Linked DNA regions of Drosophila melanogaster. The protein of the gene in region 2 purifies or fractionates together with the protein of the main gene of each other region. This does not show direct contact. Each region holds a gene or a part of one and is shown on either strand. Other genes may lie near its edges.

Region 1 (17,999 bases), on a different chromosome or scaffold from region 2:
CAATTATACTGATTGCTTAAATGTGCATAATTGAAGCTTTGCCGCTGGGAAACCGGCGACAAAGCTCTCATCTGAGAAGCTCCTAAAGGTTACTAACCTATCCTATGGATATTCCACTCCTTAATTATTTTGATAATATGGCCAGCAGCTCGTCGCGGTTGAAAATCCAATGATCTCTTACATCGAAACGTATTGGTTCGAAAAGCGTACTGAACTAAAACCAAAGAACAGGCAACTTGCCAATTCTTATCAATGGAGCTAACTCAAAAAGTGATATCAGTAAGTAAATAAATCTTAATTGAACATATTTATGAAAAGATAATAGGGCGCCAAGGAATTAGTAAACGTTGGTGCTTTACAGCGTTATCGGACACGATCTGCCAATCCCAAAAAAATCACCTGTTACACCAAATGCAGAAAAAATTAAAAACAACCATGCGAGTTCTTTTTCTCATTTGCTAAATTATTAAGCTTTAGTTTAGCAAACTTGTTTTTTTTTTGTTTTAATTACTTGTTTGTGTTGGTTTCTTGTTTCATATAGTACATTCTATCTCGATCTATATATTTAATAATATATATACCATTACTATTTTTATGTTTTCTTCGTTTAAAATCATCAATTGAAGTTCAAGGATTTGCGCTTTCATCGTTTCGATCCGACATTGACAATATTTATGTCTAGATATATATATATATATATATAAGAATACATATATATATATATATATATATGTATATTAAGAGTTCCAAGAAAAATGATGTGTGAGAATTGTAACTTATGGACAAAAATTCAAAAATTTTATCATTTGCTTAAATATTCTTAATATTTGTGGTTGTTTAGCATATTTTAAATATGTATGTGTTTGCTTGCATATCCTTCAACTACGCGCATCGAATTCATAAAATATAATGATGGGTGAGATGGAAATGGAGGGCGGCTTGGGCTGGCTATACATGAATGTAATATACTTTCGCGATGGACTTGCACAGTTTATTATTAACGCTTGCTCCTGGTTTTTGAGGTTGTGAGAGAGGAGTGAATTGCTAAACGAGGGTGGGGTGGAGGGTGCATCTGTGTATCTTTTCTGTATTTTCGTGATTTGTGTTGCGCTGCGCACAGACAGTTTCTCTTTCACATTTGCTGTTCCTATATAGTATACGTGTGTACACATATATAGTTGTTATCGACTTTGTTTTACTCCGTTTGGTTATTTGCGAAAGTGGCTACGATGCGACTGCTGATGCTGCTGCTGCTGCTGGCCCAGGTCCTTTGCCTGAAGCTGAGGCCTTGCTCATTGAGCCCACCAGTCGGGTGCGTTCGAAGAGTGCGAGGCACTGCCGCCGCCGTAGGAGCCGCCATAGGAGCCACCACCGGCGCCGCCGCCATAGTATCCACCGCCGCCCGAATTGCCGCCTGTAAAGGAAATCCACTGTTAAGTTTCTGCCTTTAAACTGATTACTGCTGATGGATGATTCCACACTCACCAAACTTACCGTACGAGTTTCCATTGCTGCGGTAACTGCCGCCGCCGCCTCCTGATCCGGAACCACCGCTACGTGGTGGCGGTCCACTGCGTCCGCCACCGCCGCCGCCAGAGCTTTGACGGTAATCCCTGGAGCCGAAGCCGCCACCATAACGTCCACCACCGCCTCGTCCAGCCCGCTTGGCTCCGCCATGTCCGCGATCCGAACTCATATCCTCCATGAAACTGGGGATCTCCTGCTTCGTTTCGATCAGCAGCTCCAAGAGATCGGAGCAAATGTTGCGGTTCTTTTCGTTGAAAAAGGAGGTGGCCACACCAAGATTACCCATACGTCCGGTACGCCCGATACGGTGGACATACTCCTCCACATCCGAGGGCAGGTCAAAGTTAATAACGTGCTTAACGTGCGGAATGTCCAGGCCACGAGCGGCCACGGCTGTGGCCACCAGGATGGGGCAGTCGCCCGATCGGAAGCAGCGCAGTGCCTCCTCGCGCTCCTTCTGCGTGCGATCACCGTGGATGCTAGTGACGGGATGATTGCACTGGTACAGGAACTCCTCCAGCGAGTCTGCACCCTTCTTAGTCTCCACAAAGATCAGTGTTAGGCTGTCTTTGGTGTATTCGGGGCCATCGCGGATAGACGAGAGCAGATCCAGCAGATACGAGCGCTTGTCGGGTTCATAGACCCACAGGATTGTCTGCGTAATGTTCTCAGATGTGGAGCCCACACGACCAACGGCCAAGAAAATGTAGTTGCTGAGGAAATCGCTGGCTAACTCCTGGATCTGCTTGGGGAATGTGGCCGAGAACATAAGCGTCTGGCGCTGTCCGGTTGGCGGCATGTTTAGCTGTTCGACGATGCGACGGATCTGCGGCTCGAAACCCATGTCCAACATACGATCAGCCTCATCCAGTACAAGGAATCGAATGTTCTCCAGTCCCACCTTTCCGCGTGTGATCATGTCCTCTAGGCGACCGGGTGTGGCCACAATCAGATGGCAACCGCGGTCCAGCTCGCGCATCTGCTCGCTAGTATTGTTTCCGCCGTACAGCACTGCCGGGCGCATCCGGGAGCGATAGGCGAACTTCTTGGCCTCCTCAAAGATCTGGGTGGCCAGTTCGCGGGTCGGCGCCAGCACCAGACCCAACGGATACTGCTTGCGCCGGCTGTACTGCCGGGTGCTTTGCGGCGGGGGCACATGTCCCAGCTCGTACATCTGGTTGAGAATCGGCACCAGGAAGGCGGCCGTCTTGCCGGATCCAGTCTGGGCGCAGGCCATTAGATCCCGGCCATTGATAATGATCGGAATGGCGTGCTTCTGCACCGGTGTCGGTTTGTCATAACGTGCTAAGGCCACGTTGTTGCGGATAATCTCCGTCAGCTGCACATCATCGAACGATGTGATGTTCGGGGGCACATTCTGGCCCGTCGCCTCCACGGGTATATCCTCGTATTTGTCAAAATTGATTCCCGTATTGCCCACGCCGAACAGCTCCACCTCCAGGCGCTCATCTCGGGCGCCCAGCTTTGTGTAGTCGACGTTTGAGCCGCCGCCCTCCTTCCAGCGGCTGTTGTAACCGCCGCCTCCGCGCTCGCCGCGATTGTTGTAGCTTCTGTTGCCGCCGGCAGACTGTCCGCCCTCGCTGCCATCGAATCCGGCAGGACGTTCTGGCTCCTGCCAACGATCGTTGCGCGGCTGCTGCTGCTGCTGTGCCTGGCCATCCTCGGCAGTCTGCTCGTTGAGGTTGCTACCGCTTCCGCCGCCACCGCCGCGGTACGATGGTCCGCGTCCAAATCCTCGACCTCCTCCGCCGCCTCCGCCGCTGCGATTCCAGTCACCGCCGCGACGCGAATCGAATTCACCACCTGCAAAAGTAATTACATTTTCTCTAATAATATGGGCATATTAGAGGACCAAGTATAAGTCGTACGCATTACGATTTTAAGGATCATTACATTATGGAGCTGTAAAAATTAATTAAATGTCCTTGTGCTTCTTGATAGTGAATAGACCACCTGTTAGCCAATAGTACCCACCGTTGTAGTTGTCCTCGAAACGTCCACCGCCTCCACGTCGTCCTCCGCCGCCGCTTCCGTAACCGTAGTCGCCGCTCTGGCGATTGAAGCCGCGACCACCACCGCCGCCGCCTCTGCGGTATTCGCCTCCGCCTCCGCGCGACTGTTGAGGGTCCCTAGTCTCCTGGCGCGGATTCCCGGATCTGGAGTCGAAGCCCTGACCCTGGCCCTGTCCTTGGCCCTGGCTCTCTGCGTCCGCTGCGTTGTTATTGCCACCACCACCACGAAGGTGCGGGGGCACATACACACCACCGGTGACCGAGTTAGTGGAAGTCTTGCTGGTTATGGGGCCGCTGTAGTCAGCAGAGCCGCCATTCAAGTCCAGACCAGCAACCTGCAAGTGATAAAGATTAAATGGTTAGTCTTCTTCAGAACTTGTGCAAAAAATGTGGCATCAAATGTGGTTTCCTAACACTTAAATTATAGGTTTTGTTCTATTTTTTTTGTACTTAATCATTGGTTTAAGATTACTTTTCTTTGTTATATACCAAGTTTACGGGAACACAGTGCATTTAATGATAAGATCTATACCAGCAATGCAAAACTAAGCTACACAAATAATCTTTGCTCCACTAATACAATTGATTTATAGTACACATGGCCAATTAACATATGTTGCCTGTAAGTTAGCCGGCACCAGTTCAAGAATCAAGTTCAACAGTTTGGCAAAAGATTCGCCGGGGAAATTTTCTCCAGAACTGCCAAAATGAATTCGTTCCCGCTTAGCAACATGTGCTATTTACCGCTCTTCCTCTTAGCAACGCAACGTGTATATATACATAGATACATATGTATGTACGTGCAAATCTCCGGAATACACAGATAGAGAGAGGCGCAACTAGTTTAAAGCTTCGAATTTAGTGCTCTCCCTGTAAGCGTCTCTCTCGCACTCGCAGGCAAGCTATTACACAAAGAGAGTCCGCCTGGTAACCCAACAAAAACAACACGTGAACGAGCCACCCACACATGGGAAAACAAATCGCACCGTAGGGGCAAAACACAAAGCCCGGTTGCGGGACCCAAGTGGACAGAATGGTGATGAAAGCAAGGGAACTCTTTCAAGAACTAGTTTAAATGTATACAATGATTATTATTCCCGTATATCTTGTAATATTCAATATTTTGCCTTCTTCATTTATATTAATTAACAAAGGCAGCTAAATATGTAATTCGCAGATTTTGTGGGGCGTCACTTAACGGCTAGATCGTTGCTAGATTCATTGCGTGCATTTGAGGCATACAGAAATAGTAGTATTTAACTAAACTATTTCCATTTGAAAGCATTAACGTTTGTTTATTTCACATCTCTAATAAAGTTTAATTCTTTTTAAGGACCTAACAAAGGCTTGTTAAAATAGTGTATGTAGATTACATGCTTTGCTTTTCTTCCATTTTTTTTTGCCAAATCACCCTTGAAATTAATCACCAGATCGCTTACTCCTGGCAACCCTATTTACAACAGCTTCCACATGTGTGAGCAAGCGAGAGAGAGCGAGATATAACACACACACACGACCAGCCTTAGAACAGCGGCACTGCTCGCACACACGACACACTCAACGTGAGAGGCCGAATGGAAACTTTCATATGTATATATTATACATGTCAAATTGGAGGCAAGCGAGCAAAAATTATACAAAAGAAATTACAAATTGGAATGACGAAGAGGGACCCAGGCGCACACACACACGCACATATATGCAAGCCATTGACACCGACACAATTCACCGTTGTAAAACGAGCGATAGAGACATTAGTGTGTTATGAAATCAATAAATTTCTAGGCGAACTTTTTCAAATAGCCGCATGAGCATCACGAACACACACACACAGCCACCGCATACACATGCGTGTTCCATTCTTATATAGATGGTAAATGGTATTTTCAGCAGTTAAAAACGCTACTTACTTGCTGCTCTAGACCTGTGCCATTTTGGTTAATAGCATTACTCATATTATCCTCCAATCAGTTGCTTTTTTTTTCTTGCTTTCCGTTTAGGAAAATTTTGCAATGGTTACGCTTTGAATTTTTTTTTTTGAATGCACACTTGCAATTTGCGACAAAAAAATGTATACGATCGTTGTGTTGGTGTTGCACTTTGTGTCTATACGTTTTTCCTTAGTTTTTCCGACAAAAAACTTCTTACGTTCCACAAGCTACTGCGTTCTCGTGTGAAATTTCAGGGTTCTTTTCGTTCCTCGCACACAATTCCCTTTGTTCGGCTTGAAACTGAGACGTTTCCGTATCGGATTTGGCTGGCCTGCTTGTGCCAACAATTACAATTACAAGCGCTATGGGCTTGGAAAATGCTGCTTCTCCGACGAGTTCACGTTTTTTTCCGCTTTCAGACGCGTGTCTAAAAAATCAGGGCTGCTTTAGCACGTATATCGATGAGGAATCGATAGATGCGGTCGGTGGAGGTAGAGCAGAGACTCCAACCTGGGCTCTCGGCGGCGGTTACTGGCAAAGACTCCGGCAAGGGCGTTGCCAGATCTATATCCTCGTCTCGCGGTCTATGAAATTCAAATTGAATTTTTTCACTTTTGCTTTTTCGGCGCGTCGATCCCTTCTAGGCTGTTGTTGTTTTTTGAATGGAAGAGAAATGAGGCTGGGCAGTTAAATTTTGTTTCTTAAAGGCCAAAAATGTTTGTGTTTATGTTTAGGAATAGTTGTTTATAAGGCGTCAGCCGCTGTACCCCATTTCGTTATTTGAAGCAAAAGTCAAAGAAATTCAAATTAAATTTGAAATTTAGTATATATATGTGATTGCCGTAAAATAGGTATTAAAAATTTCCAAACAATTCCATACTCAAGTTCCCTCCAAGTCTGTTAAAGAAAACTAAAATTCGAAGTTTCGAACTCTGGAATATATTCATTCACTTTCGTCTTCAGAATATACATATTGTGAATGTACATGTTTATATAGAATAAATGCTTTTGGTATTGGCCTTAGCTTGAGATTAGTTAGTGGAACAATAAATATGGCTATAAAGTATCGTATATATGTATATAATAATAATTTTCATATCGTTCAGCCCTTGAGCAGGCAGCGGGAGTAGAACTCCCGGTCGATAGCGTCGTTTGGAATGTATGAGCTCCACTTGAAGATCAGCGCCAGCGTGTCCCCGGCGGACATGTGATCCAGAGCGATGTTGAGGAAACAGTTCCAGTTGTAGAAGAAGTGGCGTCCCAACTGTTCCTGTTCCACGCCAGATATGCACTCGCAGTTGGCGCACACCAGTCGTCCGCCGCGTTGCAGTTCCACGAACTGTTCGAAGCAGCGGCCCCATGCGCTCACGCTCAGTTGTTTGCCCACGTCAGCCAGAAGTTCGGGGAGTCCGTAGTTGAGGACGATGGCCACCACTTTGGTGAGATTCTGTTCGGCTAGGTAAAATTTAGCTAAGACGTCTAATAGTGCCGGCACTGATTGAACAACATCAAAGCACTTCAGTTGCTCGCCACGGGACCAGAAGTATCGCAGGAGCACTGCTCCAAGCTCATGATACTGGCAGGAGGTATCGAAGCGAAGGGGGAACGAGCAATGCTCACACTTGACAATCTCCGCATTTTGCGAAGTATTTAGCAGCACAAATCCGGCAGCTATGTGATCCCGCGTAGCGTCGTCCACTTCCCAGATCATCTCCGGATCCAGGTAATCGAAATACATCTCGTAGCAATTGCGTTGCGCTTGGTCAGGCGTATCCCCATGCTCTACCATCACCTGGGCTAGTTTCTCGAGCAGATTCACCAGCTCGCCAGCTGCATACTCGTCGAAGACAGCGCGATAACGATCGACGCACTGCGTCCGGCTAAACTTGGCGCTCTTGGCGATCAGGTAGAGGTTGTAAAGAGTCTTCTCCTCGGGACTGATGTGGGGAACCTGGGGAGCCGGTTTCTTACAGCGCCTAACAATTTCCTCCTCCTGATCCTCGCTTCCCGACTCGTAGCGTGCTTTGATGTCCTTGAACGGCAGAGAACGCTCGCTGGCTGGAATTAGTTCCCTGACCAACTGCTGCTGTTCCTCGGCAAAAATATTGAACTTGTATTTTATGATGTTCTTGCCGAATTTACCAGTTACCGTCAGCAGCGCATCCTTGAAGTGTCCCGTTTTGAGAGGCTGCTTCAAGTTGTCGCAGAATGCGTTTTCCAGCACGTACACTCCCTTCGGCGGAGCTCTCGATGAACTTCCGCCGCTCAAACTGCGTTCAGTGGTGGCTGAACTGCCTCCCGAGCTGTGCGTATCCAAAGCACTGCCTGTGCACTGAGTTATGGCATCAAATATCACGGATATATCGTTCAACAGCTCGTACTCCTGCCGCTCGATGAGTAGTTGTTTCAGCGGATTGAGCTGTTTAAGTTCGTAATCCTCGCGAGCCTTGTCCGCAAAATATCGGACATGCTGGCGTAGTAGATTTGCGCAAGGCAGCAATTTGGATTGTTGTATAAGAGAAACTGCGTGGGATTGCAGCGTCTGCAGCTGGACACTATAAAGTGCGCCAGACTGCGTAAACACAAAGATCTCCGATCCCGAGGAGCGGCAGTCGGCGATTCTCTCGAACTGATTGGACCACAGCACCACCGCCGATCGTCGAATATCAAATATATATAGTCCCAGCTCTGTAAAGGCCAGCAGAAAGTCATCGTTCAACCTTTGTACCTTTGCGAACTGCAGATTCTGCGGCTGATAGTCCAGCAGCTCGGCATTGGCGTCCAGTTCGTCTGTTCCGCTACCAGGTCGCTGAATCCTTGCCGGTGCGGTGGCTAGGGCCGTCTTGAACTGGTGCGTCTGTATCACCTCGCCCTCAAAGTCCACCTCCCACACGCGACTGCCTGGTCGGGCGCAGTAGATACGAGATGGCTGCAAAGACTCCTGCGGCGAGACGAAAAAGCAGGCGCCAAAGGCTCCATCCCGCGGACGGTTACCAATCTGAAAAATATGACATGAGGTAAAAGTTTATCGATTGTATGTGATCAGATTGGCTTAGCCACCAGCGCACAAACGCACTTGTTTGTAATCCTCGTACTCAGTGTTGCACAGAATGCACTTGGTGCAATTGGACACCAGCAGCAGGTACTCAAAATCATCAATTTGGACGATCGGAGAGTCCAGGTAGAGCAGCGGATGCACTGTCATGTTGAACAGCAGACTGTGTCCGATGAACGAGGAGAGCAGCACGAGGCTGACTTGTCCGCGAGAGTCGCCATAGTAGAACTGCTTCTCGTCCTGCGTCCAGTGGATGCATGTAACCTGCACCGACTGGTCCAGGTGCGTAAAGATCACCTGCGGCGTGGCCTGCGCGGACAAATTCACGGCATAAACACAGATGAGCGAACGTTGCGTTGCAAAAGCCACATATTTGCTATTTGCCGATATGCTGAGGCTGGTGATCGCTCCATGCTTGTTTGGTATCAAGAGCAGAAACTTGCCGTTCCGATTGAACAGATACAGCGATCCGGATGAGGCACCGAAAATGATATAGCTGTCGGAGATGTCGAAGCAGGTGTACTGAAGGGAGGAAGGGCGTGCATTAGTGAATGGTCTGCTATCAAATTGCGGGTGAGACTCAATTGGATTGACTTGCTCTCACCTTGATGCGATTGTGGTGTTTCAGCGGCAGCGACAGCGACAGCGAAAAATCAATAAAGTTCGTCAGGCAGTAGGCGTCGGCCATCTTGTGGGCTTTTTCGTTGTCCGAAGCGTTCGTTAATCACATAGCTCGCTTTGAAATCGCGATTACGTTATTGCATTGCACATCGCATGCATTTATTTACAAAAATTATGTTTTTATCAGCGCGACGAGTAATTCGTGTACATAGGTCGTTGGAACTGTCTGGCAGCTCTGTTAGTGCTGGCAGGTGGTCGATAACAAGTGGAGTGTGATTAGAGCGATTACTTTTTATTTCAAATACTTTGTAATAAACTTGTTAGTGTCTTAATTAAAACAATTCAAATCTTCAATTTGAAATGTATATTAAAATCAAAAGTTTCATGAAATCACAGACGTTAAAGTATCGATACATTTAGTGCTGTAAAATGACAGCTGGCTTGTTTACCCTTATAAGCTTCAAGTCTGGCAATACTGCGACCAGCAGCTGTCGTAAAACTTATCCTTCAAACTTTCAATTAAAATACGTTTTTCTGAAAAAATCGCTTATCAAACTCCCATACATAAAAATAAAACTATTATTACACAATGTTTACTAAAAAAAATTGGATATTTACCACCCAGCCGAACAGCTGTTCGCTGCTACCTCCCCCAACCCATAAACCTACTGTCAAGTAAACGTCAAAACAGTCGCGCGACTCGCCAAGCGAAAAAACCTGCAGAAAAATTGAAATGCGGCGTGAAAGATACTAGAAAAATAACAAATAAACACCGGGTATCCGCAATTAAAACGCTTATGTACATAGAAGCCAAAGTGTAGCAATGGGCGACAAGGAGGAGCCCGTAACACCCGCTCCCTCGCCCACGGAGGAGGGTATGGCCAATATTGGGTCTGCTGGAGCCGGGGATCAGCCGCAAACTTCAGGGAATAATACCAACGTTAAGATCGTGATCATTGGAGCTGGAATGGCTGGCCTATCGGCTGCAAATCACCTTTTGCAAAACGGCTGTGACGATTTCCTTATTCTGGAGGCACGGGGCCGGGTGGGCGGACGCATTGTGTCCATACCGCTCAGCAATAATCAGAAGGTACCATTTGTTATATAACCCCCTCAAGTCCAAAAACCAAAACAAACCATCATAGGCGACCATATGGTATTAAAGGAAAAACACTTCCGACTCGGAAAAACCACGAGCATGTTGTAACACATTCTTCGCCCCAGCCAGTTGATTATAGATTTTTCCACGGACTGCGCAGTCGGTCAGCTGTTCACGCTTTTCATTAAAGCTATTTTTATACATGTTCCTGTTCCCTCTATTTGCCTATTGTTAGCTTTATTTGTTACATATGCTTACATGGGGGTAATTAATGTAATTGCATCTGTCGTGAATCTTACTCACGATTTTCATTCCGTTCATTAGCATAGTTTTGATCGGTTTGGCGGCACCTTATCAAGAAATTTGTTATACAACTTTCTTCGGCAACGTTTGTCAGATTAGATAGGGGTTTTCTGAATTAAGCCAATGATGACGTATCTAGTGCAATGCCCTGAAAAACTCACGGGTTTGCGGGCTAACGATCACGTAGTCTTAGTTATGGGACTGAAAAATTTATTATTTTTCCAGTTTTCCACATTGTTTCACTTCACATGTACTAATTACGCCCCTAAATTATCTAATATAGGTCAGTTCTTATCTTTTTTATACTAGAAAGTTAAATGTTAAGCTTTGCCTACTTATCTGAGATGTTCCTATTTAAACACTTCTATTTCACAGATAGAACTTGGCGCCAACTGGATACACGGCGTTCTGGGCAATCCCATCTTTGAGCTGGCCGTACAACATGGTCTAGTCAGCGTGGTCAACGTACCGAAACCGCACAAGGTGGTGGCCACCACGGAGGACGGGCACCAGGTGCCTTTTAACATACTTCAGGAGATCTACGAGGCGTACGTCTGCTTTCTGAGGCGGTGCGATGAGTATTTCCTGTGTCAGTACAGCCCGCCGCCGGATATACACAGCGTGGGAGAGCACATTAACTATGAGATCGAAATCTATCTGAGCGGGGTCCAGGATCCCAAGGAAAAACGCCTCAAGCAATCCATATTTAACTGCCTGCTCAAGCGAGAGACCTGCATTACCGGCTGCAACAACATGGACGAGGTGGATCTCCTCGAACTTGGTAAGGCTAAGCTAAAAATAAAGTATATACAATATGAATATATATTTTATTTTAGGCAGCTACACTGAGCTACAAGGAGGCAATATAGTGTTGCCAACTGGTTATAGCTCTATTCTGCGACCGCTGGGTGCTCAGATAGCCAAGCAGTCCATACTGACCAAATGCCCGGTGAAGAAAATCCACTGGAAGCGGAAAAAGACCTTCACTGGGCTGGAGACAGTCGACGAGAACTCGGAGGACGAGCATTCAGACGACTCTGAACGAACGGTGACGGAAGTGCCGACGGGGGAAATTCGTGGCGCCTCCGTGGAGTCCAACACCAGCAGCAATTGTGATTATCCTGCAGGCAACGTGCGCATAGATTGCGAGGACGGTCGAGTGTTCCATGCAGCCCATGTGATATGCACCATACCGCTAGGCGTACTGAAAAACACCCATCGCACTCTCTTCGATCCTGTGCTGCCGCAGTACAAACAGGAGTCCATCGAGAATCTCATGTTCGGCACCGTGGACAAGATCTTCTTGGAGTACGAGCGACCATTCCTCAGTGCCGATATATCAGAGATTATGCTATTGTGGGACGACGATAAGCGGGATATGAACAGCTCCGAGGAGGAGCTGGCCAGCGAAGCGTATCTCAGCAAGAATTGGTTCAAGAAGATATATTCGTTTGCCAAGGTGACGGACACGCTGCTCTTGGGCTGGGTCTCGGGCCGGGAGGCGGAGTACATGGAGAAGCTCGACCATGAGGCAGTGGCTGAAAAGTGTACGGAAATACTTAGGAACTTTCTGCAGGATCCTTACGTGCCCAAGCCAAAGCGATGTGTTTGGTAAGGCAAAGAAACATTATTTGGTTAAGAATGTTGTATATTAAAGAAAAATCTATTTGTAGTACCAGTTGGAAGTCGCAGGACTTCACCGGTGGCGCATACACCTCAATACCGGTGGGCGCAACTCAGGAGGACATCGAGAACCTCGCCCAGCCCCTCTATGCCACGCCCCAAGCCATGAAGGTCAGTTCTACAAGCTTGCTTCCCCGGCAATTGTTCACATTTTAATATATTTCCCCAGCCCGCCATAGTCTTTGCCGGAGAGCACACCCATTCCAGTTTCTACTCTACCGTACACGGCGCCTATTTGAGCGGACGGACGGCAGCGCAGCATTTGCTGGCGAGCGATGAGCCAGACGAAATCATCATGGAGTCGGACGGCAGTGATCTGAGCGCCTGGATACAGGGCATTGCCCTGGACTGAGTCTAAGCTAATCAACGACCACTCATCGATTTTGTATTATAATTTATTAACGTTATTTTGTACACTCTTTAAACGCTTTTTAGCTAGTGATATTTAATTTGTTCGATTGTAATTTATTTTGCTAGCGTCGTAAAACGATTTAACTCATTTTTGTACATCCCTTGTGAGCATTTGTTTTATTTTGTTGATGCAATTATTTTGTAATTTATTTGGAACCCGCTTGTACATTACTATAAATAAAAGTTACGAATTAGCTGAGCTGATCAATGTGCTGCCAACTCGAACAGACCGTGCACCCGCAGCAGCTTTCACTGTACTTGGACGAAAAAGTGTGCACAAAGACATAATGTTGTTTAGACCTAATTACCGATTAGCAACCATAAGTGTATGAATACAAATATATTGCCTATTTTTATAAATTCGTATTTAACGTAGAAAAGGTTGCACCAAAAGGTTGACACTAAGACGATCGAACAATGAGTGCAACTAATGTATATTTGAAAGTAACTATTGTTAACGTTAACTATTTTGCTAACTAAATTATGCATTGGTTGACTCTTTAAGGCGGAAAAGGAAAAGTTGGTATTCATAAGTCCGTTCTAACACTTGGATCTGCATATTTATTTGTATTTGTGACAAAAATATCGACTTGTACGCATAAATAAATAAATTAAATAAATAAATTATTGAATGAAAATGTATAATTTTAAATAGTAAAACACAAGTCGAAGAAAGTTTTGATTTTTTAACGATGGGGAGAGATCTGTATTATAAAAATCAAGTTGTGCTTTTGGTTTTAGGCCAACAAAAGTCTATAATTCAAAACATATGTAGATATCCTAAATTATTTGAAAGTCTTTCGCATTGCACTCGTAAATTTTTTGTGGATACATTTACTCGAACTTAGCTAAGGTGTGGTAAAAAAGCTAATAAGGATAAGGTAGGTGGAAATGAAAAGGATTGACTAAGCTGAATTCAAGAATGCATTAAAAATGGCTTGTAAAAAATTCGACAAAAAATCCTTCGAGCCGGATTTGAACCAGCGACCTATGGATTTCTATTGCATGTTTTCCAACTACAGTCCACCGCTCTACCAACTGAGCTATCGAAGGGGGCGTGCTGGGGAGTAGGTTAAACAACGGGTATCCGATTCATCGCGACTCTTCAATAAACTTTTGTTGGTAATCGGTTTAATTAATGCGTATTTTAGCTTTTAATGGATTGAGGTCACGGACAGCATATGCCATGTCGTTCAAATACCTTTTCTTTTGATTGTTGCTAAGCTAAAATTAAATAATATATTGATGTACGCGTAAAGTAAGACATGTTCATTTTCACGTGTTTTTAAAATTGATATTCTTCAAATTATTATTCATTTTATATAACATTGTGTTTATAAAATGTCTTTTGCATCTACATGTTTATAATTGCATACTATTTTATATATTTTTTATGGGGTACGGGTGCTACTATAAAAACAAAAACGAATTGGATATTACAAAAAATTACAAAAAATCCTTCGAGCCGGATTTGAACCAGCGACCTATGGATTTCTATTGCATAATTTTCCAACTACAGTCCACCGCTCTACCAACTGAGCTATCGAAGGTTGAGTTCAAACTTGGCCGTTGTTCGTTTTATGCATGCGCACAAACGAAATGCACCGTATTTGGTTATTTATTTTTGATTTTTACTTATTTAGGTCAAACAAAATTGATCAACTTTCTCTATTCAGTCCATTGCAGTAAGCCTATAGTTTCCAAGCCTAATAGCCTAGGCGCTTTTCACAAACTATATCAATTTAGTTACGGTTTATTTCTTCCAAATAAAATCCTTCTTATATTATTTAGTTTAAACAGCTCAGTTATATTCTGAATGTCTGTAGATGAATTAAATTGATTTAAATTGTGCACTACAAAATATATAAAAAAAAAGGTATGTGCACTACAAAATATATAAAAAAAAGGTATTTATATCTTTTCGATCCTTCGAGCCGGATTTGAACCAGCGACCTATGGATTTCTATTGCATGTTTTTCCAACTACAGTCCACCGCTCTACCAACTGAGCTATCGAAGGTTAAATTCGCTTGCGGCTAATTCACCTTTTGTTCAGGAGCGAGGTGGGGAAAGTGACAAAAAGAGAGGGCACTTCTCTTAAACACCGCTGCTCTTTAATACTCGCGGCCAGAAAAATAGGACCTTAAATTCTTGTAAACTTATATTAAATACTAAAGCATTGTAAATCTTAATGAGAAAATATTCAGGTACAACTGTTCATGGCTTAATTTTAGACCAAAATTGTGCATGAATTTAGAAAGGCAGCAATGCACTATTTGAAACTAACTAGTTACCCACCCACAGCTGTGCACCGATAAAGGGGTGGTGTGCGAGCAAAGATGCCATATTTATACATATATCCATCTCGTTCCAGCGCCGACGATAGACGATACCGATACTTTGCGAGTCCGCTCCCAAGATTGAGCCCCCACAGCGTAAAAGCGACCGAAGTGCCGGCGACGAGAGCAGTTCGTTCCCAGAAGCCGGCAGCAGTGGTCCGTTGATAACTCCGACTCGAGCTACTTATCCACCACGTCGATACTCTTGTCTGTCTATTGCAAACATAGAGGAGTCACCCTTTGGCTAACGAATCCGAAACTCCCGAGTTTTGTTGTGCAACATATCAAAAACCGCATTTGTTCGGATCCAATTTACATTCGCATTTCAAAGATGTCGTACCACAAGCCCGAAGCTAAGACCGTCCAGGATCTGAAAGATCTGGCCCAGAAACTGCGAATTCACTCTATCAACGCCACCCAGGCCTCCAAATCGGGGTAAGTTTATCAATAACTGAAAGTCCATAGGCATATTAAAGTGTGCGTATTTAGATTTGTTTGTGTAGATGTGAATTTTAAAAGTTGTGCACCTTGCACTTGTTGCTTCAAAGGTGACCCCCTCCATTTCCAGGGTGGGTGCGAAAAAGTTTTTGAGGGGGCTGCTAAATACATACATACATATGTATGTGTTTTGAAACATTACAAAAGAAAATAAAACAAAAATAGTTACGCATATACATAGTTATGCATCTATGTTTGTATGAATGTGAGAAGTAAAATATGGGAAGACCGGTTCCTTTAGTGACCCCTCCTGGGATTCAGTTGCCAACCCACGTGTTGTCCAGTAGCTTTAGTGAATTTGCGAATTTGTTGCCCTGCCTGCGTGCTCAGTGATAAGCCGCGTTCACCTACCTTAAATTGTGAGCTAATATTTTTTGACCTTAGACAACCTTGAAACGTTAGGTTTTTCTTACTGCCTTTTAATTTCTTTTGCTTTTGTTTTGTGCGTGGCGTTCAAAACGCCGAAAGCACATACATATGTACATGGGGTAAAAACAAACATACTTACATATCAAACAGAGGCATTTAATATACGTATGTACATATGTACATACAAGTGTTGGAAAGCACAGCTTGTGACGGGAGTGGAATTGGAAAGAGAGGGATGAGAATAGTAATGGAATGATCCCCTACACTTGAGATTTACGACTGTATGGCTTTTAATGTAATTATATCTCGGATAGACGCGATCAAATTATTACTGCAACAGTAAATAAAAAAGTTACTATGCTGATAAGGAAAACACTTTTATCGCCTCCATTAGTTTTTCCATTCTGTTTCGTTTTTTTTTTTTTTTGTGACGGTTCAAGATAAGATCTGCTCTGTTTGCTCTAAATGTGACCTCTGCCGACGAGATAAGCCCGGTTTGGTTACTCATTGACCACGATATGACCGATTAGAGGTGACCAGCTCAAGTGTGTTCCCCGCATGATAATCGAAAATCACTGAAAACTGATAAAAAAAAAAAAAGCGCGCCGGGTCACTGCTAACACTCCGTATCACCTTCAATAGTTCTTGATATGGCTGCAGGAAACGGGGACGCACTTCGGAACTATCTAGAAGCACGTGCGTTCACAAAGATCGCCATGCAACACAATCGTGGAAGCCAAGAATTTGGTTTTTAAGGCTATTATTTAGGTTTTTTGGTGATCAGAAAAGTTCAAGGTCCCAGAAACCGGTGAGGAATTGCGATGGACTCACGTCGCGACAAACACACATATCACACCATATAACGCCAATAAATACATATGCATGTACTCGTTATAGTTTATTTATATGTCTGGGGTAAGACGAGCCCCCCATTTTGTCTGGGGTTGCGTGTTTTCTTTGCGGTTGGAGTTGTGCCAGATCTGCGATTCAAAGCAATTTTTTTTGGAACACGATCGCATGGGAACATTGAATTCCAAGAATGGATCTTATCTTATTTATATGTACATTGCAATTGGATACTCGAGAAATCTTCATTTGAAATATGAACAGAGGGGGGGGGGGGGGTTTAAATAAAAGCTTCAATAGACAAATGGATTTCTTTTATTAAACAACGTTTTTAACAAGTATGCACAGTGTTCAGTTCCACTTTTCCTTTGTTGATCGGCCTTCACTTACCCACCGTGAGGTCGACTTCTATAATTCATTAGGCACTTACCTTAACCTAGAACTACATGCAAACGAAATGCCTTGTCACAATCTAATATTTTGCCTACTTTTCCCTCTTTATAGCCATCCCACATCATGTGCCTCGATCGCTGAGATCATGTCCGTGCTGTTCTTCCAGCAGCTGCGCCTGAACCTGAAGCACCCACGCGATCCCTCCAGCGATCGCTTCATCCTGTCCAAAGGACACGCTGCTCCCATTCTGTATGCCGCCTGGGCTGAGGCTGGTCTCTTCCCCATCGCGGATCTGAACAACCTGCGCAAGATCGACAGCGATCTGGAGGGTCACCCGACGCCTCGTCTGAACTTCATCGATGTGGGCACTGGATCCCTGGGACAGGGTGTCGCCGTCGGCGCTGGCATGGCCTATGTGGGCAAGAACTTCGACAAGGCCGACTACCGCACCTACGTGGTGGTGGGTGATGGTGAGTCCGCCGAGGGTTCCATCTGGGAGTCGCTGCACTTTGCCGGCCACTATAAACTGGACAACCTTTGCGTGATCTTTGATGTGAACCGCTTGGGCCAGTCGGAGGCCACCTCCCTGCAGCATAAGCTGGATGTTTACCGTGATCGTCTGGAGGCCTTCGGCTTTAATGCCGTCGTTGTCGATGGTCATGATGTCGAGGAATTGAGCAAGGCTTTCCATTGTGCTGCAATCACCAAGAACAAGCCCACCGCCATCATTGCAAAGACGTTCAAGGGCAGGGACTTCCCCAACATCGAGGATTTGGACAACTGGCACGGCAAGCCACTGGGCGACAAGGCCGCCGAAGTGGTGAAGCATCTGGAGGGACTGATTGTCAACAAGAACGTCAAGCTGACCCCTAAGCCGGTGCCCAAGACTGGT
Region 2 (15,229 bases):
GAATTTAAGATCTGAAATAAAAATGAATGGGAGAATTTATTTTAGAGTGTGAATAATGCTTAAATTCTCCTTAAAAGATACTCTCAACATACTTGTTAGAAAGGCGTAATAATCATGGCAAATAAATCATATTTAATGAATTCAACAAAAAGGCATGCAACAGCATTCTTGGGTGGCAAATGTTTTCCTAGTTATTACAAGATACTCTAGAAAAAAGAGGTGAAGAAGGGTGGCTTACTTGTACTACTTATCAGCACATTAGCACACACACGCACACACACACAAGCTGCATGGCAATTAGCAATGCGAAGGGAAAACATTAATGATGAAATATTAAACAGGGCAGTGGAAAAGTGAACTATGTATAAATATTGCAACGAGGGTATGGGGGAAAATGTGGCCAAACCAGTAGATGGAGCGACTTACAAAATGCTCTTTCAATGTTCGTTGTAATTCAGCCAAAAACTGCAACAATTTGTTGTTGCTGCTGGTGCTGCTGCTGTTGCCGCTGTTGTTGTTCGATAACCATTTGTAGCAGTCGCAGCAACAACAAAAGCAGCTTGTAATGCCCTCATTGAGAATGGGCGTTGGGAAAGTGGGCGCGGTGCTCACTAACACAAGAAACAAAATGTTGACGTCAATTTCATTTCATTTTCATTCCCTGCTGCTGCTGCTGCATTTTCCGCCATTTGGTTGCTGCCGATAACAACTGCACAGCAGCAACACAAACAACACAAACAACAATCGCACCAACTGCCAAACAGTATTTAGGCGGTTAAATATATATATGAACTACAATTGCAGCAGCGACATGGCACTTAGAAAAATGAGCATTGCATTTCGAGGGAATTAAATTCGATTCAAAATTTGCACCGATAGGCTAAGCGCCTTAAATGGAAATGAAAACCGAAAACAATTTTTTAATAGTTTTTGTTGTTATGTTGCGAAAGGATTCTCTAAGGCGTCTAAAAGTAGGCAACATATTTTTGTTTTGCTGATTTTGCCTGCTTCAAACAAGTAGAACCTTTTGCTACTTAAGAGAATGTCACACATTTGTTACGAAACCCAAAAAAAAAATTGCCCAGTAACCTACGAGCAACGTATATATTAAATGAATTGCAACAATATTGTGCAACGCTGCACTGTGCGGCAGCTGTGTGTGTTGGTGTGGGTTGAAGGAAGCGACGTGGGCGTGGCTGTAGGCAGAGGAGCGTCCAAATTGATGGGCGGTGGGGCCAGGGGGCGTGGGCGAAACGTGCGACATTTGAAACAGAAACCGGAAATTGGAATTGCAATTTATGCTCATCGCGTGTTGCACATTTTCTGTTCCGCTCAACTCAGTTCGGTTCAGTTGAGTTCGTTTCATTTCGCAAAGGATTCCGTTTAGTTGGCTGGGCTACAGATTTCATATCATCTGGCATAATCTATTTGGGGGTCATAGGCATAAGGTCAACACATGCCATTTATTTTCACCCCCCCCCCTCCCCCTTCTCTTCATCCGCAAAACGTATGTAATTAGATGGGCTGCCCGCCCCACAAAAAGGGGCATCCTTAAATGGGTCAACGGCAGTTTTCGGAATTTTTGGAATTTTATTTATGGTTCAAATGCGAAGAATTTATGTCGACTGTTGGGCGGGACACGAGGCAATATTAATTTTCGCAACATTTTGCGATCTATTTGGCGGGGGAAATTGAAATTCGCATTTTGGCAAACGTTTGCAAATGAAACTTTCGCAAATGTTTTGTGGCGGAGAGATTTCTTGAAATCATGGCAAAGTATACGCAAATAAAATCTTAAATTTTTAGTTAATCCCATTTCGGGCTAGATAGTTCTTTTCACTTATCTTCAATTTTCAAACATAATTTCAAGCTGTGGCTTATGCGTGGTAATTTTGTTGCAGCATTTTAGTTTCCATCGTCTCTGGATATGTATTAACGTCAGGACATCGTCTTTAATTAGTCCAGCAAACTACAAGTTTTTAAACCCATCTAAGCCGAGCTTTCGTTTAACTTGTAATCTTTAATTACGTTAACTACAGAACAAAACGGCTTTGTCACTGGAACTAACAAAGCTGACAACTAAAATGGCCAAGGGTAGGGCAGCTTTAAATTACACGAATGTCCTGTCAAAAATACTTAGCACCGACTAACAAGGACTATATATATATGGGAGCTTTGAGGTCAGAATGAAATTGCCAGAGACAGCTGTAAATAAAGTGGGTAGCATGAAAGACACCACCGTTTTAAAGTGCCATTATTTATTGAGTACATCGAGGCCTGTAACTTCGTCCTTTCTTTTTCAATCCAGAACTTCCTTGGCTTTTTTTCTTTTTGCCTTTGGTTTTCATTATTCGGAGCGTTTTCGGCGCATGGAACATTTGCTGCCCAGCCAAGCGAAACACTCGGAATGCTGGAGAGCTGGGGTTCCATGAAGATTTCGGGGACCGTAGTTAGTTTCTTGCCTCCTTCCAGGTGACTGTGGGCAATGTCCTGTGGCGCATGATAAACGCAGTTAGGCCCTTTTTAAATATATATACATATATATATATATACACGAACAGCCCCCGAAACGCTTGGCTTCAAGTGGCCAGTGATATATATTCCGGTATAGCCATTTTTTGTTTGATAAATTTAATAAATCAAGTGATTGTTTTGGCTGGAAATGCAATCGTTTGTACATAATAGATGGCATTTTATTTATTGCCCTGCCCGCCGGCTAATGAATGCTTATTAATAACCCGATTAGGGTGAAAGCAAAGCGGATTGGATTTAGGTCCACATAGAACAAAATAAATATCAATAGATTTACGCATTTATATAGCAAAATAGTTAAAAAGGATAAAACCAATCGTAATGAGTTATATTGTTAAAAAGATTTCCAAAGCTACAATCCTGTAATAATAATTTAATGAGTCATTTATTCTGTTAATAAACACATTTCTTAATGTGGTTTACTATTTTTTTTCTGTGTACAAAAGTCATCTAGCTCATATTCAAGATCTACTCAAATGAATTCCCAATCAAATTAGGTCTAATCGAATCAGCCAGTAGGCAATCGCTGGTTCCCAGTCACTGTTCTAGGATAATTTAATTTTAGCCCAAGAAAGAAAATAATATACGAACACCGCCAAGGATAAATTTTCCTTGTTTTTTTGGAAGTGATGTCCTGAAAAGGGTTTTACCAGCCAACAAGGAAAAGGCACTATCCTTTACCGATTGCGAGCGGAAAATGTGAGTCCGAATCTGTTTTCTGTTCGCACAGATGTTTACGCGGTTTAAAGCTCGTTAGCGCCCCCGGAAAATGGAGGGGGGGAGGGGTGTGGTTTTTGGGTTTATGCAGAGGGTTGTGGTTCGCCGGCTGAAACATTTTGCGGGGTCTACAGCCCGGCAATTTGGAGTCATTGCGGCCTCGGACTTGAGAGATAATAGAACTACGACCGCAAATATTGCCTACAAAAGTGGGTTGAAGAAGAAGTAAATGGGTAGATAAAGGGAGGTTTGTTTGCCCAGCATTGTGGCAAAAAGGATTAATACCAAAGCAGATTAGATTGTCAAAATGCGACAGCTTGCCGCCGCTGCGTGGGAAATTTCCTACTCACCACTTTTTTTTCCCATCCAATGGGATTTTGACCAAAACCGAAAACTGTAACAGAGTTATCAACATTTTGACAGCTTCAATTGCGGAAGAACAACAGAATTATGCCAAAAACAATAAGCCGATTTCAGGGCGAACTAGCTAGAATTAAGTACTTAAAAATTGCAGATTTCGCAAACGAAAGTCAGAACTTTAATTTAATGCCATTTATGTACATCAGTAATAAGCTTAGATGGTTTATTTAAGTTGTGAATTAGTTGTTAAATATGAATGAGTTAGAATGATTAGCCCAATGATACGAACAATTATACATCATAACTGAATGCTATAATATATTAAGGCTGTGACCCTTTTTGCTATTATTTAACAGGCAAAATACTTCATCGTAGCTTAATGAAGTTTAAAGTTAGTTTATAAGCCTTTCCCTTTAAGCCAGTTGAGTATCTTTTGGCCCACACATTTTGCAGATCAATCACTCACCCAAAATGCTGTGATTTTTCCCAACTTTGGACAGGAGTCTGGCAGCATCCACTAATGAAGTTGGTCTTCAAGGAGCTAAAAAACAATTTGTATACCAAAAATGGCAACAACGCCTTTAGGAAGTTTTTTTTATTAAGCTATCAATCAGTCTGCAAAAACTTTTAAACAGTAGAAACCTTTAAGAGAAGGACAAACCAGAAAAAAAATCAGATATATTTTTTATAATATACATAATCAATAAAAATTACAACAAATGTTTCCCTCTTATCCGCATAGCCATAAATATTTGTGAGTATTTTTCAAAATTCCTAATCATAATCAACATTTGCAGCTTTAACAACAAAATTATGATCGGCAGATACGATGCCAAAGAACCATTTTCATTTGCCGCCTAATGGATTTTCCGGGGACCGACGAGTGGCTGCAGCACTGGGGCCGGAAAAGTGGGCGTGGTATTCCCCTGACATAGAGTTAAGGAAAGGAAAGGAAAGGAAAGGAAAGCCGCAGATGCCGCCGCAGCATGTGTGTGCGTTTGAGCGCCTTGCCACTTTCAGTTAATTCCCTTCACTTGGTCGTAAACTTTACGCATTCACTGTAATCAAATTTTATGAAATGCTCAGACCCAGTTGTCTTCGTTTTTGGCTCTTTTGTTCAAAGGGGATATTCACTGTGGCCATGTGTGTATGTGGATGGTGCACTTTAATGTTTGTACTATGGTTTTCGGATGGCTGAAGCTCTGTGTTTGCGGCCTTTGAGTGAAAATTTTGCGGCATAGATAATTAAATAATAAATTGTTGTAATGTCTACATTTGCGCCCTTCGACTGTTGCATTTGGCTGAAAGATCATAAATGATTTATATGCACATTGAATGCGTCGACAATAGATTTAATTTAACGATGTCTTGGCGACGATGATGGCGATAATGATGATGCCGGCGACGCCGCCATTTTGGCTTTGCTCCACCATGGCTTTCCCGCTTTTCCGCCTTTTCCCTAGGATTCTCCCCACACACACACACACACACACACACACCCGTCGAGGTAATTACGCGGAAATGGTTGAGCAGGAGGAAGGGAAATGGGCCAGCCAACATCAATATTCTTCCTTCATTCGCATATTAAATCTATGTCATTTTATATAAATTAATTTCACCAATGACATTCAATGTCTGCTCGGTCGAAAATGGATTATGAACGTAATATATTGCAAATATGGGGATGTTCTTTGATGTGTATTTGTGAACATATTAATGTGGTATCGACAACCAAAGCGAAGAACATCGATGGTGGCATTTAATTTGGAAATAAGGATGGGGATTGTTTTCTTGTATAATTATGTGTGTAATAATACCAGTTTGTCGTGGATTTTTAAAGTGAATAACAAGTTGTATAAGTGATAAATCATATTTTATATGATATCCTCGTTTTTTTCCCCACCTCCTGCGTAGGAAAACCTTGAACTGAGATGCTAGCCATTCATGGCCGAGCAATTACCGACTGCAGTTTGATTGAATTTAAATTCTCGAGCTCGCCTTGAGCACTCCTTATCTGAAAGTCAGTCGTGTCCTGTGACAACCTCTGCCTCTGCCTGCGCACATTTCTCTCCTTGGGCGAGTCATAAATTATCCTTAGATCACGCGCCAACAAAAGCGTTTCGTACACTTCACTTGCTCTGGTTCTGTAGTTTTCCCTATTGTTTTTTTCTGTTTTTTTTTGGTCCTTACGCAGTGACCTATACAATGCATTCCATTGGGAAACTAGTGGTTGTAGTTCCTGGCCTGTAGACCCTTAGATTCCATGATTCTATCGTTTTTTTTTTTATTTTTTAACTAGCTTGAATTCCTGGCAGTCACATGCCGACAGAGGCGCAGCGCCAAGATGATGGAAACAGCTGACATTTCACTTTCTTGATGCGATTACGCAGCGAGGAGTGCCCACTGCACCCCATCGCCTCCACTTGCTTTGCCACCCCCTCACTCGCCGCTTTTCCGGCCTTTTCGCCCACACTGCAAATTGCTTACGGTCACGTAGCAGCGTTGCCCCCGCCCCCCTCCCCTATGGCTCGCTTCCCCCGAAAGCCCTTACTTCTCCTTTTTGCTGCTGTTGCGCGACAAGAATTTTTTCGCTTCAAGCGGTGGCCAAGAAACTCTACACTGAGCAAAAATGTGTCTACATTGTATCAATGTGGATCATATATAAAGTATGTGTTTTTTTGTTTTGCAAATAGCCCAAATAAATTAATGTTCTTACTTCATAAAATAAAAAACAATAAAACTGAAAGACGGGTAAGTTAACTTATTAATTTTCTGACATTTAAATTTACTAAACAAAAATATTTTTTAAGCCACATCCTAAAAAATATCAATAATTTTCCTACCAACGCAAGCTGAAAAACTATGTATGAAAGGCAGGCAGGCAGTGTAGGAAAAAATGGGTTTTGGAGTGGGCAACAAAAGGAAAATGGTGCCAAACTTAATGAAAATACCAACGCGTCGTCATTTTGGCCGCAGAGAGGCTGTTGCCACGCCCCCTCCCCCCCTCCACCGATCCGCTGGCAACTTTCCACCCCCCAAGCCCATCCATCTTGCATGCCATTTTCCCGTTCTACCAATATGTTATTTTTCATGCGTTTTAGACGAAAGTGTTTCAGCCCACTGTGCGTGAGATACTGTCTTCTTTTTTTTTACTATCTGCCCCATCTTTCGATTTATTGGCGTTTTTTGATTTCTTGGCCCATTTTTCAGATACAGTAGTTTCTCTATTGTTGTCTAGAAAGATTTCATTTAAAGGTTGTAGTTAATTATTGCAGGGACAAACAATAATATAATAAAGTACAATTTTTTTTCAAAATTTTGGATGTCCAAATTATTAGGTATACATATTTATTTAACTTTCTTTACCAGTTTTCACTGTTTTAAAATTCGTTGATTTCTTGCTTCATTTTTGTTGTATATTGTTTTTCTGCCGCTGCTGCTTTGGAAAATTTGCATATCTCGATAGTGTCAGTAAATTTGCATATTTAAGATAAATTTAAATTCCTTGCATGTTTTGTTGTATTAACATTTTTTTTTTGTTCCATCCAATTTCATTTCGAGTATTGTCCTTTCTGTCTGCTCCTGATGCTGCTTCTTGTTTGTTGGTCCTGGCCCATTCTTCAAATTTTGTCGTTGCTATTGCAAATTTATTGTTTGTAGGCTTATGGGGCGGTGGGAGTGGCAGTACAGGCTGTCTTCATATATGTATTTATACTTGGAGATGTTACAGTCGCGAGTCAAGTAATTAGATATAAAAGCTTAATTGTAAAAAAAAGTTGTTATCTATTGAAATGTATCAAGCTGGATAAAAATAAAATATATATATATATTTAAAATCAAAGTCGCCGTAAAAGTTTAAATGTTTATATTTTTTCGCCCGCTGCTGTCTGAGTGGTTGGGTTTTATGTGGGCAGTGGGCGTGGCAGTGCTTTACAATGCGTGGGAGTCGCTCTCATTTCGATTTTTTCAGTTTTAACCCCCTATCTGCTTATTTTTCGTTGTCGTCATCATGCATCATTTGTTTAGTCCCTTAGTCCTTTGTTATGTGCCAAAAGCTATGGGGCGGTGGGTGGTGGTTGGTGAAAAGCGGGCGGAAGGACGTGTGGTGTGTGTCGCCCTTTTATGCGACGCACTTGTTGAGAATATTAATTTTATTTAAATATTTCAAAATAACACACTAGATGCTGTTGCTGGCTTTACAGTTTTTGGTGCACACGTTTTTATTTTATTTTTTTTTTTATTTTGCGCCATTTGCGTAATGAACTGATATAATGGGATTGGGAAAACTGACAACCATGTGTATCAAATTTGAAAAAGGAAAGTTATATAAACTTAGCACTGAAAATAGGCTTTTAAAATGGTGATTTTAATTGGTTAAATCGGATCTTTATTTTTGATTAGTGACGAAATGTAATGACGAAAACTTTGTATGCAATGCATATTTTCGAATATTTACAATGTTATTTCGATTTTTTAATTAATAATCTTGAATTTTATTCCAGAAAATAAAAAAAATATAATGCATGAAATTAATAAAATTGTTATAAATAATACAGTAGAAACCCGAAAGAGTTTCGTTAAACAGCAAAGCGCAAGCTAATAAGAGGCAATAAGAAGAGAAATTTTCTAAGAGAGTACAATTTGAAGAGAAGAAATATATACAGTAGCGGAAAAAGGAGTATGTACACAGAATATATTTGCTACACGGCCACATATCCAACCCGAAGTTAAAGTTCTTGTGCTATTTTATTAAGACCTTTATTATTATGCTACTCGCCGCTGAAAATTCTTTTTTACACAATGTTTAAACTACATAGAGTAAAAGAAAATATTTAATATTATGAGTCGCACCTAGACTATTTTCCGCTACTGTAGATTGCTGTAAATTAAGCGAGAGAGCGAAGAGAGCATTGCCGGCAGAAAAGGAAGAAGAAGAAGCTCATACCATTGCCGATTGCTGTCGCGTTGCGCTTTCTTCGTTTTTTTCGGCTGCGCAAACTTATATTTTGTCGTTGTAATATTTTGCATAAATATATAAATTAAAACGCGTGACGGAACAACAAACAAATAACGAAGACAGCAAAATAAAAGGGCGAAAAATCGAAACGAAAACGAGTCGAATTACTTTCAAGTGCAAATAGTGTGCGTGGGCGTGAGATTGTGTGTGTGTGTTGTGTTTGTGCGACTGTGAGTGCGTGTGTTTGTGTGCAAAAAAAAAACAGAACGTGCAACAAGAAGCAAGAAGAAGAGCCATCAGCAGCTGACAAACCAGCAATAAAACGAAATTTCAATAAGTAAGCAACATTTAGGCAAAGCTAAAATCCAAAAGCAAATCGAACAAGAGGAAAAACTACCTTTGGAAGCCCCGCAAAGCAGACGTAACAATGGCAAAAGCAACAAATTTGCGGCTCTCAGCTAATTGAAAGCGAATGTTGTTGTTTTAGAGCAATGCACTCGATAAAAAATACATAAAGCAATGGCATAAAAATACAAAAATAAGAACGGCACAGCACAGCAGACGAAAAACAATAATACAACTGGGAAAAACGAAAAAGTCAAATGAGAGAAAGAGAGAGAGAGCAATAATTATTTAAATCTTATCGCAGTGCAAATTTATTTTTCACCTTTTGCTTTGCTCACTTGTTGTTTGCCGGTGCTCTTTCCACCCGCTCTTTGTTCTCTCTCTCTCTACTCTCTTTCTCTTGTGCACTGCGCTCTCCTTCTCTATTTTGCTGTCATTGTCCTTAAATAAGCAATAACAAAAAATAGCAACAACAACAAGTGCAATTGATAAAAAGCAATAGCGTAAAAACAATTGAATAATTTCCTCCGCATATCAATAAATTATTGTGTGTTCCTGTGTGTTTGTGGCTGTCTGGCGGCATATAAATAAATTTGCAAACCAAAAAAAATTGGCTGGCCTGTGCTGTGTGCTATTTTTAATGCCAAAATGCAAATGTTGCAACTGCCGCGCGGGAAAGAGACAGAAACAGTGCTAAAATAACTCGCTGAATGCTCCGTTGCAAGTAAAAAAAACAATTTAAGACGGGTGGTGCTAATAATAATCAACAAAGTTGCTAGTGAAATATTAATAACAAATTATAAGCACGGCAAAATAAGCTGAATATGGCACAGAATGCTAAAAAGAAGCAATAAAAATAGAGAGTGGGAGAGAGAAAGAAGAGTGCAGAGAACAGTGTTGCCGTGCGGCAGTCAGAGCAAACGGGTTGGGCTGTAAAAAAGTGGTAGAAAAATAGACGAAAAGTTTAATTAGCAGAAAAAATACTGACCTCATTTTATACATTAAAATATATAATCTTTGTTTTATTATTTAATAATAATAATGATTTAATTAATTACAAACAAACTGTCATAATTAATTTAGGTTGAGCAGTTGATCTGTATAAAAAATGGGGTCTAGTTAAGACTGTATCTCCAATTAATGCAAATGTTTATATCTGCAACGTCTTAAGATTATAGAATATTTACAATTATGACTCATTCTTTCTAATCTGCATTATCTCATTTACTCCCCTTTTCGCAGTCACAAGTCAATTTAAGAGTGCTATTAAGAAACTAGAAAAAATGCACCCACGATACAGCCCAGCCCCGCCCCCTCAGCAACAGCAACAGATGGGCGGACCGCCACACCAGCAGCAGGGCGGCGGGGGAGGTGGAGGCGTTAGCATGAGGGGGCCATCGAATGCCCAGCAATTGCCGCCGCAGATTCCGAGATCCCAGAACTATTCAAACGTAAGTCAAATACATATTGCATCTTTATAATACAGACAATATTAGAATATCTATTATTTAACTGAAGTGTACAGTTTTACGAAAATGATTTAAGTCTTAAAACGTAGAAAGTCACCATTACCCCTTCGAAACTCGAAAGCAATTCGAAATAGCCTGTTAAAAAAAAAGTGTTGGGCAAACATTTAAGCAATCAGAGATCAACAAAGGCATCAATCAATCAATAGCTTCGTGCATCAATCAAGCAATCAAACGGCTCACTCGGTCGCACTCTCGCCAGTCAGTCATTCAGTCAGTCACACAGTCACTCACTCAATCGCTCATTCAAATCGGACTCAGGCTGATGATTTTTGATTCTGATGCTTCTTTCCACATAGAAGGCGCCATTTTTGCCTTGCGGCCGATAGGGGGCGCCACTGCAATCGACATGTGTCATACGCAGCGTCCTTTAAATCCGGGAAATGCGGGACGAAAATGGGTGAAAAATCACGGGGGAAAAACTGTGGGAATCGAGAAACCAGAGGGAACCGAGTACGCATTTGAGTGGAAAATTGCTCTCGCTGATGCGGCTGCCACGGCCTGGCAATGATATGGATTTCTTCTAACCATTTTCCCCATCAATTTCCTGACAGTTGCAGTGCAGGCAGTCTAATCTCTCGATGAGAGAATCGGGCCAATAGTGCCACATTATCCTTATACCTGAAAAATCATTACTGGCCAGCAAAGAAAGGAGCATTTTAGCTGGATTTCCTTTTTGCTAATTTCAATGGTATTACACGTTTTAAGGGGGTGTAATGTTTTGTGCATTGTGTAATTTCCATCATAATTTATGCATTTGCTTTCTAAGCATCAGCAACGCACAAAAAAAAAATGAAAAAAATGGAAAAAAAAATGTAAAGCATGAAATGGAAATCGCACAAAGGCAACATTTGTAAGTAGTACCCTTCGTCCTTCCTCAACTGACGAAATCCGGTTTACCTGCGTGTTATACGAATGCACAGCAAACGATATGGTAAAATTTGTTAAGGGATCTTTATATACGATCTTATCTATCAATAAAAAGTTAAAATAAAAAACAAATCTAATTAATAAACCATAATATCTACGATATAGTATATTTACTACACCGGTTTTTCCAATTTCTCTTGGTGTATATGTTGTATATATGTTTGCCATATAATAAACTATTCAAAGCTTCTGCGGCATAATACTAAGAGATGGGGGCGGTGTGTGGTACGAATCTGGGGCTGATGTTGCTCGTTTGCTGCGTTTTTAGGTAGCCCAATCCAATCCCCTCACCAGACTCCTTGCAATCCCTCCAGGTGTGCTCGCTTTGTAGGCAACATCTATTTGGCATCCTCTAATGGCCAACAGGCGTTGCTTTGGCTTTTTTTCACGGGAACGTTCTTTCATTTAAACAGCTTTCAACTTACGGCAGCAACAACAACACGCTGGCGGACCACATGAAAATAAAAATTCTGGGAAAAAGAAAAACTTGTTGTTGAGGGTGGTGAAAATACGGCAAAAATTGTAAACATTCGCGCTTAGTCAGCGCCTCAGTCGACGTCAGTTATTGTGGCTGGAATGAAAATTATATTTCGCATTTTGTGTCCTACACAGGAAAATGAAGAAAGGAAAGTAAATAAATAAAAGAGAAAACGGGCAAGTTGCTGAAGTTTATGGAGTTAAGAGAAGATATATATATATATATATATATTTAAAATTACTTTGGACCGCACTTTGTGATGAAAATGGGCGCGTTTTTATGGCTAAAAATTGTATATGTCAAGTTTGGAGAGAGTTTTGGATATTAAATTTTCAAAAAGTTTGAGTGGCCAAACAAAATCATTTCTTTATGACTTTTACTGTAGCTAAAACTGCAAGTGCAAGAGGATGTCAGAATCTAGGAAAACTCCGTTATCGCACTTTCCAGCTTTAGGATTTTTCTTTTTATAATTCTGATTGAAATTCCCATTTTGTTCATTATTTACATATTTTCAGCTCTTTCAAAGTTGAATCTGTGCATTCCCATTTTCCAACTGTCATTTAAACTAATCCGTTTGATAAACTAGAAGCTACAGAAAACGAAATATTTCCCTTCGGCATTCTCCGACTTGTCAGTCTAAGTTCTTATTTCCCACTTCAGTAATTAGGAAATTAAATACTTTCCTGCAGAGTCCAAAAGGAAATATCATTTACACTCTTTTGATTCGTTTTTCCTACCCCAGTTTTGGATTTTACCTGAATAATTTGTTATCCCTGCCCTTCTCATACCCGCGTATAATTTTCTCTTTGGCATTTTCTATTTGAGTTTCGTAGCCGAAAATGTTTCGAGAAAGAACTTTACAGTGTTTGAGTTTGTGCGCTAAAAAGTTTGTGCAACACAAAATATTTATATTTCTTATATAAAAAAAGTTTTGTGAGCTTGGTCACGTAGTAATTTGTGATTAAATTCAATGTTGACAATTGCAAGAGCAGGCCGAAGTTGTTAAGGTAATTGCGACCATATAGGCTGGGATGCATTTCAATTGAGCAAGCTCCTGCTGACCAGACGGCAATGATGGGGATATATGTTACTCCAACTCCGACTGAAATTGCAGTGCTGAATGGCATACGAAACGCCTTTGAGTTCTGCGCCTGCGTCGGCTTGTGGATCCTGTTGCTGGAAAACAATTTTGCCGGCTCCCCAATGCATTTGAGGACACGAAGTCGGGAAAACCGAAGCTGGAAAGCCGAAACGAATCTGCCAGGCTGAGCTGAGGCCTTACTCAAAAACCTTACTCAATGAGAAATTCAGAATCCATTCGACGATTGTCAAGTTCAGTTACAAACGCCTTTTCCTCATTTTGCGCACCACAAAAGCGGAAAGCGACCACAGAGCCCCAAGCACACTGAGATTGCCGGAGACAACCAACAGCCAAGTCTGAAGCCAAAATCGAATCGAAGTCCTAATCGAATATCAAATTCAAGCCCAAAACCAAATCCTACTATTAACAAATAGCCAATAGCGAGGAGTTCACGAAGGAGTCCTGCAAACACATCCTTTCAACACAGTGCAAGCTCGCCATTTTGTGTTTTTTCGAAATAGAAAAAGTTTTTAAAAGCCATACCGCAAGATTCTGCATTAAATATATACATACATATATTTATATTTCCATTTTTCCGTGCGTATACGTAATCTGCGTCGAAGTCAGTTCATTCTGTCCATGATTTACAAATATATTTATACATAATTAGCCACTGAGAGAACCGCGAAGTGTAAAGTGCAAGTGAAGTTCAGTATTATTTACAAGGCGTGAAAATCGAAAAAGTTTACACCAAATATTCTGCTCAAGAACTCACTACTCAAAGTAGTCCAAGGATTCCAGTCTCTCAGCGCAACAATTGTCAGCGAAAATTCCTACGAATCTTAGCCAACTAAGAACTCTAATTAAAGTCAGACGAAAGCACAACTACAAAGGGTTAAAAACTCTGAAAGTAAGAAAGAAATTAACTAAATATTAAAGGAATCTTCGAAGTGAACACCAAAGCAAAGATCTACAGTATTATTTTGAATAAGAAATATATAAAACACACTCTAAGCGATAAATAGAGACAATAAAGTTGAAATAAAAAAAACCAAATTAAATTTGTGACTCTAGCCTAAAAGTAAACACATAAACCCTAGCTTAATTGTGAGTGAAAAAGATTTAGCAAATTGCCATTAAAAAAAAAAAAGAAAACCAAAAATTAGTTGAAAAAGCTTAGCTTGAATAAAACAAATAAAAAAAACGAAAATAATTGTGTCTATCGATGTGTGTGCTTAAGTAACTGCAAATCAAGTAAATAAAATTTCAACTTAAATAAGTGTTCAGTGTTTAGCCAATATAAAATCGCATAGCAAACTAGTCAATGTTCTTCATAATAAGAAATCAATAGGAAAACTTCAAAACAAAGGCCCAGATAGTCGCAAATAATAAGGCGGAAAAAAAAAACCGACGCAAGCCCAGGAAATCAATTTACAATCAAACCTGCTCACCATTAGCCATTAAAATTGCGTCAATCAAGAGAAAAACCTCGCCATTGCCCGCAGCAACATCGAAGCTAGCCAATTTCAGCCAACAGGACCCACAGCAGGAGCAGGAGCAAAAGTCCGGCGAATTTAAGGCAGCAGCTGTCAGCCAATTGGTGGCAACAGTTGTCCAGACAACAACAACATCCGTAGCAGCAGCAGCAGCAGCGGCGGCAGGAGCAGCAACAGTAGCAGCAGCAGCAACAGTAGCAGCAACATCGAAAGGAGCAACATCCGCAGGAGCAACACAGCCAGCCGCTAAATATCCTAAGGCCAGCTCCTTGAGCCAGCAGCAGCAAACACCACCACCACCGCCGCCGCCGCCACCAGCAACAACAACAACAACACCACCACCACCACAGGAAGCCGCAGCGGCAGCAACAACAACAAGTGTTGCCGGGACAACAGGAACAGCAGTCGCAGCAAAGGCTAGCAAAACCACAAGCAGAACAAGCAGCAGCAGCAGCAGCAGCAGCGACAGCAGCAACATAAACAGCAGCAGCAAAAGCGGCAACAGCAGCAGCGGCAGCAGCAGCAGCAGTAACTGCAACAGCAACACCTGCAACAGCAGCAGCAACACCACCAGCACCACCACGACGCTGTACACGTGCTCCAGCACCTCCTCGTCGCTGATTGCCCAGCCGCCGCCAACAAAGATATTTAAGACGGATCACCATCTGTGCGCCGCCTACGGACTGCCGACCGCCACCGCCGCCGCTGCTGTTGGTGGGCATCCCTGCGTCTACTGCGTGATACCTGTGCCCGTGGTGAGTGTCCTTTGCGTGGGTCCGAGGTCCTTCAGAAAAAATCCTGTGTCTG

Evidence for each region.
Region 1: the proteins of shep (region 2) and bel purify together in Drosophila melanogaster (affinity purification with mass spectrometry, with the first as the bait; one study listed by BioGRID). This does not show direct contact.

Annotation. Positions count from the first base shown.
Region 1 is NT_033777.3:8,654,493-8,672,491, forward strand, and holds bel (belle), read right to left. Parts: upstream 6,270-17,999; 5' UTR 5,516-6,269; coding exon 5,471-5,515; intron 3,896-5,470; coding exon 3,523-3,895; intron 3,352-3,522; coding exon 1,486-3,351; intron 1,415-1,485; coding exon 1,293-1,414; 3' UTR 483-1,292; downstream 1-482. Other genes in the region: p (pink), read right to left, coding at 6,594-8,489, 8,568-9,068, 9,151-9,234; CG8032 (uncharacterized protein), read left to right, coding at 9,991-10,257, 10,945-11,350, 11,406-12,180, 12,243-12,363, 12,422-12,604; CG8036 (uncharacterized protein), read left to right, coding at 15,333-15,436, 17,219-17,999. UniProt on the Drosophila melanogaster protein: ATP-dependent RNA helicase that is essential and required for cellular function, larval growth, and for male and female fertility.
Region 2 is NT_037436.4:5,271,288-5,286,516, reverse strand, and holds the start of shep (alan shepard), read left to right. Parts: upstream 1-8,572; 5' UTR 8,573-8,903; intron 8,904-10,153; 5' UTR 10,154-10,194; coding exon 10,195-10,362; intron 10,363-13,182; exon of another isoform or gene 13,183-15,177; intron 15,178-15,229.